Linked DNA regions of Ovis aries. The protein of the gene in region 2 purifies or fractionates together with the protein of the main gene of each other region. This does not show direct contact. Links are inferred from orthologs where the notes say so. Each region holds a gene or a part of one and is shown on either strand. Other genes may lie near its edges.

The links.
Region 1: the proteins of ATXN7L1 (region 2) and ATXN7L3 purify together in Homo sapiens (affinity purification with mass spectrometry; 5 studies listed by BioGRID and IntAct, counting the BioPlex papers as one, with this or other methods). This does not show direct contact. The link is inferred for Ovis aries from reciprocal best matches to the Homo sapiens genes ATXN7L1 and ATXN7L3.

The regions. Positions count from the first base shown.
Region 1 is NC_056064.1:43,750,672-43,754,962, reverse strand, and holds the start of ATXN7L3 (ataxin-7-like protein 3), read left to right. Parts: upstream 1-1,427; 5' UTR 1,428-1,679; coding exon 1,680-1,889; intron 1,890-2,188; coding exon 2,189-2,321; intron 2,322-2,524; coding exon 2,525-2,696; intron 2,697-2,892; coding exon 2,893-2,990; intron 2,991-3,177; coding exon 3,178-3,200; intron 3,201-3,500; coding exon 3,501-3,567; intron 3,568-3,709; coding exon 3,710-3,795; intron 3,796-4,097; coding exon 4,098-4,166; intron 4,167-4,291. UniProt on the Homo sapiens protein: Component of the transcription regulatory histone acetylation (HAT) complex SAGA, a multiprotein complex that activates transcription by remodeling chromatin and mediating histone acetylation and deubiquitination.
Region 2 is NC_056057.1:48,237,481-48,241,285, forward strand, and holds part of ATXN7L1 (ataxin-7-like protein 1), read right to left. Parts: intron 1,612-3,805; coding exon 1,328-1,611; intron 1-1,327.

The DNA.
Region 1 (4,291 bases), on a different chromosome or scaffold from region 2:
AAGGGAGGGGGAGAGGGGCGCGCGCGCGCACGCTCGCGTTCTCGCTCGCTCCATCCATCCATCCTCCGGTCGCGGCACGCGCGCGCGCTCCGGGCTCGCGCCGCACCCCCCGCCCGGGAGAGGCGGGCTGGAGTGGGGGGCGGGGGGAGGGGCGCGCGGACGGCGCGCGGACTGCGCGCGGGCGGGGTGAGGTGAGGAGGAGGAGGCGGCGACGGGACGAGAAGGGAGGGGAAGGGGCCATGGCCGCCCGGTGAGGCGGCGAGGCGGGGGGGCGGCCCGACCCCCCGGCCCCGGGCCCTGGGCCCCGGGGAGAGGCGAGGACGGACCGACGGACATGGGGCTCCGGAGCAGCCGCCGCCGCCGCCGCCGCCGGAGGACGCGGCCCTGAGAGGCCGCCGGGCCCCGGCGCGGCCCCCCGGGCGGGGTGAGTACGGGACGGAGACGGGGACGGGGGAGGGGCCTGTGGGGGGCGGGGGGCGGGGCCCGAGGCGGGGCTTGGGCCCCCTCCCCCCAGGTCTGGGTCAGCGCCCCTTCCCCTCCCCCAGGGCCGACGCGGAAACGCCCGGCTTCCCCCGGCTTCCCGGCCCGGCCGGGGCCCCCAGCTCTCCCCCTGTCTGGGTCCCCCCTGGGCGGGGCAGGGCCGGCCGGGGAGGGGGCGCGGGGCCTTTGTTAGGGAGCCAGGCCCCAGCCCCCGGGACAATAGAGACACCCTCCCGGACTCCTCTCCCCGGCCGGCCGGGGCTGTCGGCGGGCGGGGAAGAAGAGGGGCCGGGACGTGTCCCACTCTGCCCACTCTCTAGGGGTCGGTCTGTCCCGGAGCGGCGCCGGCCTCCGGCGGCTCGGCTCTCCTCCCCCCAGTCGGTATGATGCGGCAGCAGTGCCGCAGGGACGGGGGAAGAGCCGAGGCCCGGCCTCCTACCCTCCCCAGTGCCCCCGGCTCATTTGTCAGTCCCCACCCCACTCTAGGCCGGCAGCTCCTTAAACTCGTACCCACCGTTCAGAGGGGCCCCGGACTGTGTGCTCTGTTTCTGAATCCTTTGGTGGGGATTCCTGGACTTTGGGGCTCTTGGAGAGACTTCCGGGCTGGTCCTGAGGGAGGGAGGGTGGTTATCTCAAAGAAGAACAGGTAAGGGGAGTGCCCACTCCTGGCATGCCATCCCACCGGATTCTACCTCCTTTTTCTTGCTCATGGTGGCTAGGATGGCCTTTTAGCTCTAGGTTTCTGTGGGCTCTGCTCTCCGTCTGTAGTGGCAGGCTTATTTCAAGGGAAGACAGAGTGGGGTGAAGGTTGTAGGGTCCTAGGGCCATTGCTACTTCTGGTAGCAGTACCCCCCCAAGTGGACATCCTGGCTGAAAGCAGAGGTGACTCTGAGGAGAGCCTGGGGAGGGGGGGGAGTGTATTTAGGAGTCTGTGCAGTTCTTTGCCACACCCTGTGGGTTTGCTTTGAGGCCTTAGAGTTCCTTCTCCTCCCCCTGCTGCATTGCACCATGGGTATGGAAGAGGGGTTTGAGTTTTGGGAACCTGGGGTGAGCTGCCGCCTCCTGTAAACCCAGACTCTGATTGGCAGTAAGAGTCCAGGGCCTGAGTTCAGGCCTGGGAAGGACTAGGCCGCCCTTGGGTTTCAGGCCCTGCAGGACCATCCAGACTTAACCGAGGCCTTAGGGAGAGGTAGATCTTGATGCCACCATTAAGCTCTGGGCAGCGAGGTGGGGAGGGGAGGTGGCAGCCATCGGAGGTGCCTTGGACTCACACCAACATCCCCCCCACATGTGTGCAGCCGTGTTGCCGCCCGCTGTGCTATGAGCAGTCAGAGCACCGTCTCCACAAGAGTTCACAAATGAAAATGGAGGAAATGTCTTTGTCTGGCCTGGATAACAGCAAACTAGAGGTGAGGGCTCCCCCACGTGTGCCTCCAGTTCTTTCTCTTGATGTCTGTCCTTCGCTATATCTGGAATCCACACCAGAGAGGAATTTGGGTAGTCAGCCTTGTTCCTTAAAGGGAAGAGCCAGCTAAGAAGGCCCAAGGATCCGGAAGAAGAAAGAACTCAAAATCAAGATGGGAAAAAATGGCAAAGGAAGCTTTATTTTTGGCCAGGGCGAATTGGCAGGAGATTTGGTTGGTGAGAGTTGCCCTCAGTCCATGGGACTGTGACTCTGGTGACCCTGGATGTTCTCCCCTGGGCCCAGGCCATCGCTCAGGAGATATACGCGGACCTGGTTGAGGATTCTTGTTTGGGATTCTGCTTTGAGGTACACCGGGCTGTCAAGTGTGGCTACTTCTTCCTGGACGACACGGACCCTGAGAGCATGAAGGATTTTGGTGAGCGTCAGGGTTGAAGGAGAGCAGCCTAGCCCTTCCCTGGGAGTGCTTGGAGGGTCCTTCTCCAGCAACCACACCAGAGGTAGAACCTAGAGCTCCTGGGAGCTTAGGCAGGGGCTCTGAAGAGGCCACAGGGCCATGGGTGGGAACGAGAGGTAAGGGCCCCTTGCCTGCCCTGATCGCTACGTCTCTCCTGTCCCCAGAGATCGTGGACCAGCCGGGTTTGGACATCTTTGGACAGGTTTTCAACCAGTGGAAGAGCAAGGAGTGTGTTTGCCCCAATTGCAGCCGAAGCATTGCCGCCTCCCGTTTTGCTCCCCACCTGGAGAAGTGCCTAGGAATGGGTCGGAACAGCAGCCGAATCGCCAACCGCCGGTGAGGGCTTCTTCTGCTAGAACCAGAGTGCCCATCTTTTGCAGCCCATCCCATGGTGGAGTTCCCCACCACCCCCTGGGACATTTGGAGGGTATAGAGGGTGGGTCGCGCCTGGCCCCAGATGCTCCCCTCTACGTGTGAAGTCGGGCAGAGAGAGATGGCAGCCTTGACCCTTCCTCTTCCCTCCCCTCGGCAGGATTGCCAATAGCAACAACATGAACAAGTCAGAGAGTGACCAAGAGGATAATGATGACATCAATGACAACGACTGGTCCTATGGCTCAGAGAAGAAAGGTGTTTGGGCATCTGGGGAATTGGGAGGGCCATCGGGGTGAGGCAGGCAGGCAGGAATTGAGTGTGTAACAGTCACAAGTTGTTATCCCTAATGAGGGAGGAGAGTGTAGCTTTGTAACTTTTCTTTAGGTGCTCTTAGATTGGGAACTTAAAGTGACCCTGCCCTTTACCCTTTTGTCCTACACAGCCAAGAAGAGAAAATCAGACAAGGTAAGAGCCGGGGCAAGCATGAGGGAGATTTGGGCCAAGGACAGATACCCTCCCCTTTGGGCAGGGAGTCCTCGGGTGTCTTGACTCAAGTCTGAGGTCACTGGGTACCTCTCTGGGTTCAGGGCCGAGGGTGTCTGGTGGGCAGGAGGGCAGCAGAGGCCTGGGGGGTAGGTGGGAGGAGGGAGTATGGGTGAAAGGCCTCTTACTGGTGGGAAAGAGTAGAAATTTGAGGATGTTTGTCAAATCTTTTTTCCTTCCCTGGGTTCTCGGCTCCCCCTTATCGTTACCCTTTCCCCAAAGCTATGGTATCTCCCATTCCAGAACCCCAATTCCCCTCGAAGATCCAAGTCTTTAAAACACAAAAATGGTAAGTGGGGTGGAACAATGGGAGTGATTCTAACTATGTCTTCTGGGACTTGTTGCTGGAGGGTGGAGGTGGAGGGGCAGGGGAATCGAGGGAGGGCCTGTGATCCTTCTATCACCCCCACTTCCTCTCTGGTTATTTTCAGGGTTCTCTGTCTGTACCTCTGCATCAAACACCCTTCCCCTTCTTTTTTCTTCTTCAGGGGAACTTAGCAATTCGGATCCTTTTAAGGTGAGTAGGGGCTATCCCTCGTAGGTTCCCTCTCAGTATTTGCCTCGTTGTGAGTCGGGTGGGCTTGGACAAGTCGGGGTCAGAACGCTAACTAGATGGGTGTCTCGGTCTTGGGTATTCATGTTCTTTGTGGGTCCTAATTCGTTACCCTGGTGCAGTTGGGGTGGAAGGAACTGTTGGAGAACTGCGGGCAACCTTAAGGCCTTAGTGCTGAGGGAGGGACGAGAGGGACTGACTCCACACCCCCACCCTCCCTTCTTTGGCCGTCCCTCCTCTAACTTGTACCTCTGGTTCTCACCCAGTATAACAACTCAACTGGGATCAGCTACGAGACCCTGGGGCCAGAGGAGCTGCGCAGCCTGCTCACCACGGTGAGGGATCAGAGAAGCGGGGAAGCCCTTGGGAGCAGGCAGAGCCACAGGCAGTGGTCGAGGCCCTGGAAGAGGCTGGTGCACAGCAGTGAGGGCATCTAGGTCTCTCTCTTGAGTTTGGTTTC
Region 2 (3,805 bases):
GCTCTGTCCACACAGAGAGGCCCCCACCCTCAAAGACAGTGCCAGGCTCTGCCTTTCTTGTGGGACAGTGGGTGAACAGGGCATGGAGAGATTTTCAGGGTAATATAACTGTGTCATTTGAATGCTTTGGGCGCAAGGTACTTTTCAGACCTAAACTTTTTAAAAGTTACAGACATAAAAGAAAACCTGAAATACGGATAAATACAAAGTAAAAAATAAAAATGACCCACAATTCTTGGGGGCACTTAGGAATTATGTTCATGCCAGGGGACACAGCTTCTCTCTCACAGGGCAGTTTTCTCTGTATGGTGGACCCTTGAATAACTTGGGTTTGGACTGTGCATGGATATTTTTCAGTAGTATATACTGCAGTACTACACGACTGGAGGTTGGTTGAACCTGTGAATACAGAGGAACCACATACACAGAAGACCTGCTAGAAATCATATGGGGATTTTCAACTGCATGGAGGGCTGGCACCCCTAATCCCTGCCTTGCTCAAGGGTCAACTATATTTTTCTTTCTTCTGGTTAACAACTAATAAATGGCCAGGGTGTGTGAAGAAGTTATAAAATTTATAGCTTTTCTTGATCTTTTGGAGAAAGTAAAACTGCCAGATTTCCTTTCACAACAAACCCAAAGCAAATACCATCCACTTGGGGGACCCAAGGGCCAACCACTGACTTAAGGACTGGCCATGTGCACCTTTCTGGGTACCTCCAGAGTGCCTACTCTGACAACCAAGTAGATTGCAGAGAGACCCCTCAGCATCCATCTGCTATGCCAGTCTAAGTGTTCCCAAGTGGGAATTCCAGTCTGCTTATGTGGGAAAGGGATCTGTAGCCCCAGACCACAGAATGAACCCGGAAACCAGTGAGACCAAAGGATGGAGATGGGCAGTCAGCACCAATGCGACTGCCCCAAGCCTGCCCTGAGCTACCGGGAGATATCACAGTGGGCTGTCCAAGTCTGCAGCCCTGAGACTTTTCAGAATCTAGGGGCGATTTATCCTGTCAGAGCAAGGACAAAGCCCTCCGAATCCACAGAGTGCTGTGGGGGTGCAGAGCTCCCTGCCTTGGGAAAACCAGGATAACTCCTACTAAGTGCTGAGCTAACTCAGCCCAGCCATCATCAATCTAGCCCGGGATTAAGAGAATCAGTTCTCCCCTGCATTTTGAGATGGGAGTTCCTGTTTGTAGGTAAACTCCGTGTTCCCCTTAAAATGAAACAGACCTGTTCAATTATAAGATCACATCACTCCCTAGTTCTGGACGCAACTCAGCTGTAGTCTGATCATGAGCCAGACTCAAAGAACACAGACACGTACCTGAAAGTCTCCTGTAAGGCTTGTTGTTGTTTTTGGTGCCGTTTTGGTGTTTCTTGTCTATGGTGGTAGACAAAATTCCTTTGCCATTTAAGATCTTCTCTGGGGAAGGTGGCACTGACTTGGACATCAAGACCGGCTTAATGACAGGTGGGGTGGAGACGGCAGAGGATGAGGTGGAGCAGGAGGGGACCGCAGGAGTGGCTGTAGAGTTCATTTTGACATTGGCACCATCTGCCTTCACTAGGTTAGGAATTTTCTCTAAACTGACTACGGGAACCGGAACACTGAAAAATAAATGAACAAACACACACACAATTGCCTTCTTTGATACATCTGGTCTGCTGAGAAGATATCCCTGCTTATCGTTATCAGGACACTTCCTTATCACTTATTTATACTCCTCCTATAAGCGAGCAGCAGGATTCCAGTTTTGATGGGAGAGAGATGCATGCCTCAGAAAAGACTGACAGCGATGTGAAGTTGGCATGGTGCCAGGGATGGCATCAGTGCTGACTGATTACCTCCTGGATCAGTTGTCCCCATAGATCCTGTCGCTCCCCCATTCCTCAGTCCCCTTTGTCAGCAGTCTCCAAGACAGCACCTTGGGCAGAACAGGGTGCCTGCTGTGAAGCTCAAGAAGCAGTACAGTCTGTCCCTGAAGACAGTGTGCCATGGAGCCGCGTGCTGAATCACGCCCCCTCCCCCGCTGCTCGGCTAGTCTCCCACCCGGGCGACCGGGCCTGACATCTGCTCAGCTCGGAGTGCTGACAGGCTCACAGTACATGGAGGCAGGGCTGTGGGCCAGCGGGCCATGCTCCGTGCTGTCAGAGGACTCCTGGATCACTCATGTCCCAGGGATGGGCTGCCATAGAACATTATCTAATATTCCATTTTAGGCAGCTAGTTATGTAAATAGGCAGTTCTCAAGGCTGGCAGGTGAGAGGATGAATCTTAAGAAGACAGAGCACAAAGGTATATGTTTGCTCTTTAGAATCTGTCACTCTAGCCCTGCCTCCCTGCCATTTCTCCTGTAATGGATATGCATTTGATTTCTGTGCATTTCACGCTGGAAGACCCTGTGTCTAGGGGGCGGTGGAGGACTCCATCTCCGGGTCTGAAAGGATGAGACGAGATGAGTAAGCTTTGCTTTGGTTCTTGAACTAGATTCCCTTTCCTCCTTGCAGGAGGGTGGAATGCAAACACTTCAGCACCCTCAAGTCATCTCTGAGCTGAGAGTGTAGCCGACTTAGCTCTCTGAATGCCAAATGGGCTAAACTAGGGCTCAGACATGCCTGCAGACAATGAAGGGCATGAAAGACATGCCGGTTTTGCAGGGGAGGAGTTTTATCTGTCCTCACGGCTGGCTGGTTCTCCCTTCTCCAAGATGCATTCACAGATCATTTCTTTGATCAATTTGTTCATGAAATTATTTCAGCAACCCCCTCAGCCCTTGTTGTTGTTGCTAGCCCTTGCCCCTTTCCTGACTTTGAAACAGGATCCCGGATGTTATTTATAGGCCTTTGCCAGTGAGAAGGCACTCAGTGGTGGAGCACACTGCCCCCAAACCTCAGACTTCACCCCAAGACCATGCGGTTTCTTGGCCTGGGGAAGTATGGGGTGGGACCTCAAGCCCCACGTAACGGGAAACTGCAATAGCAGTTTTAAGTAAGATACCAAGTTACTGACAGTTCTGTCTTTGATCAGTGTCTCAATCACTGAGATAAAGCTACACTGCCACCACTTTCTAGTTAATGGCAATTCTCAAAGCACTCATCCTATGGCTGAAGAACAGCACAAGAAGCCCTTGAAAAGTCAACACACTAAGAAGCTGCAAAAGAGATTGCCTGGTGAAATTAGGGTTGCACCTGACTTCTTCTAAATGGTAAAATACGCAATGCTATGGGATACTAAATTCTTCCAGGCTCGTTCCTTCAAAGGTACAAATTACAGAAAGCAAGGTGGTGAAGAGGAATTTGTACACCATGATCTAGGCAGCATTATTCATAATGGCCAAAAGGTGGAAGCAACCTTAATGTCCACTGATGGATGAATGGATAAACAAAATGCGGTAGATACATAGAGCGGAATGCTATTCAGCCTTAGAAAGGAAGGAAATTCTGACACGTGGGTGAAGGTTGATGACAGTATGCTAAATGAAATAAGCAAGTCAAAAAGATTACTAACTCCATGATTCCAACTGTACAAGGCGCCTAGAGCTCAGGTTCATGGAGACTGAAAGCAGGATGGTAGTTGCAGGGGAGCTGTTGTTTAGTGGGTACTAAGTGGCAGTTCTGCAAGCCTTTTTACACTTAACACCCCTGAACTATACATTAAACATGGTTAAGATGGGAAATTTTGTTATGTGTGTTTCACCAAAGTTTAAAAAATTTTAAATGCACAAACTGGGATTGTTATAAAACTCATGTAGCTTATTCTCCAATATCCTGATTTTAAAAAAATATAAGAACCTGCTTAAAA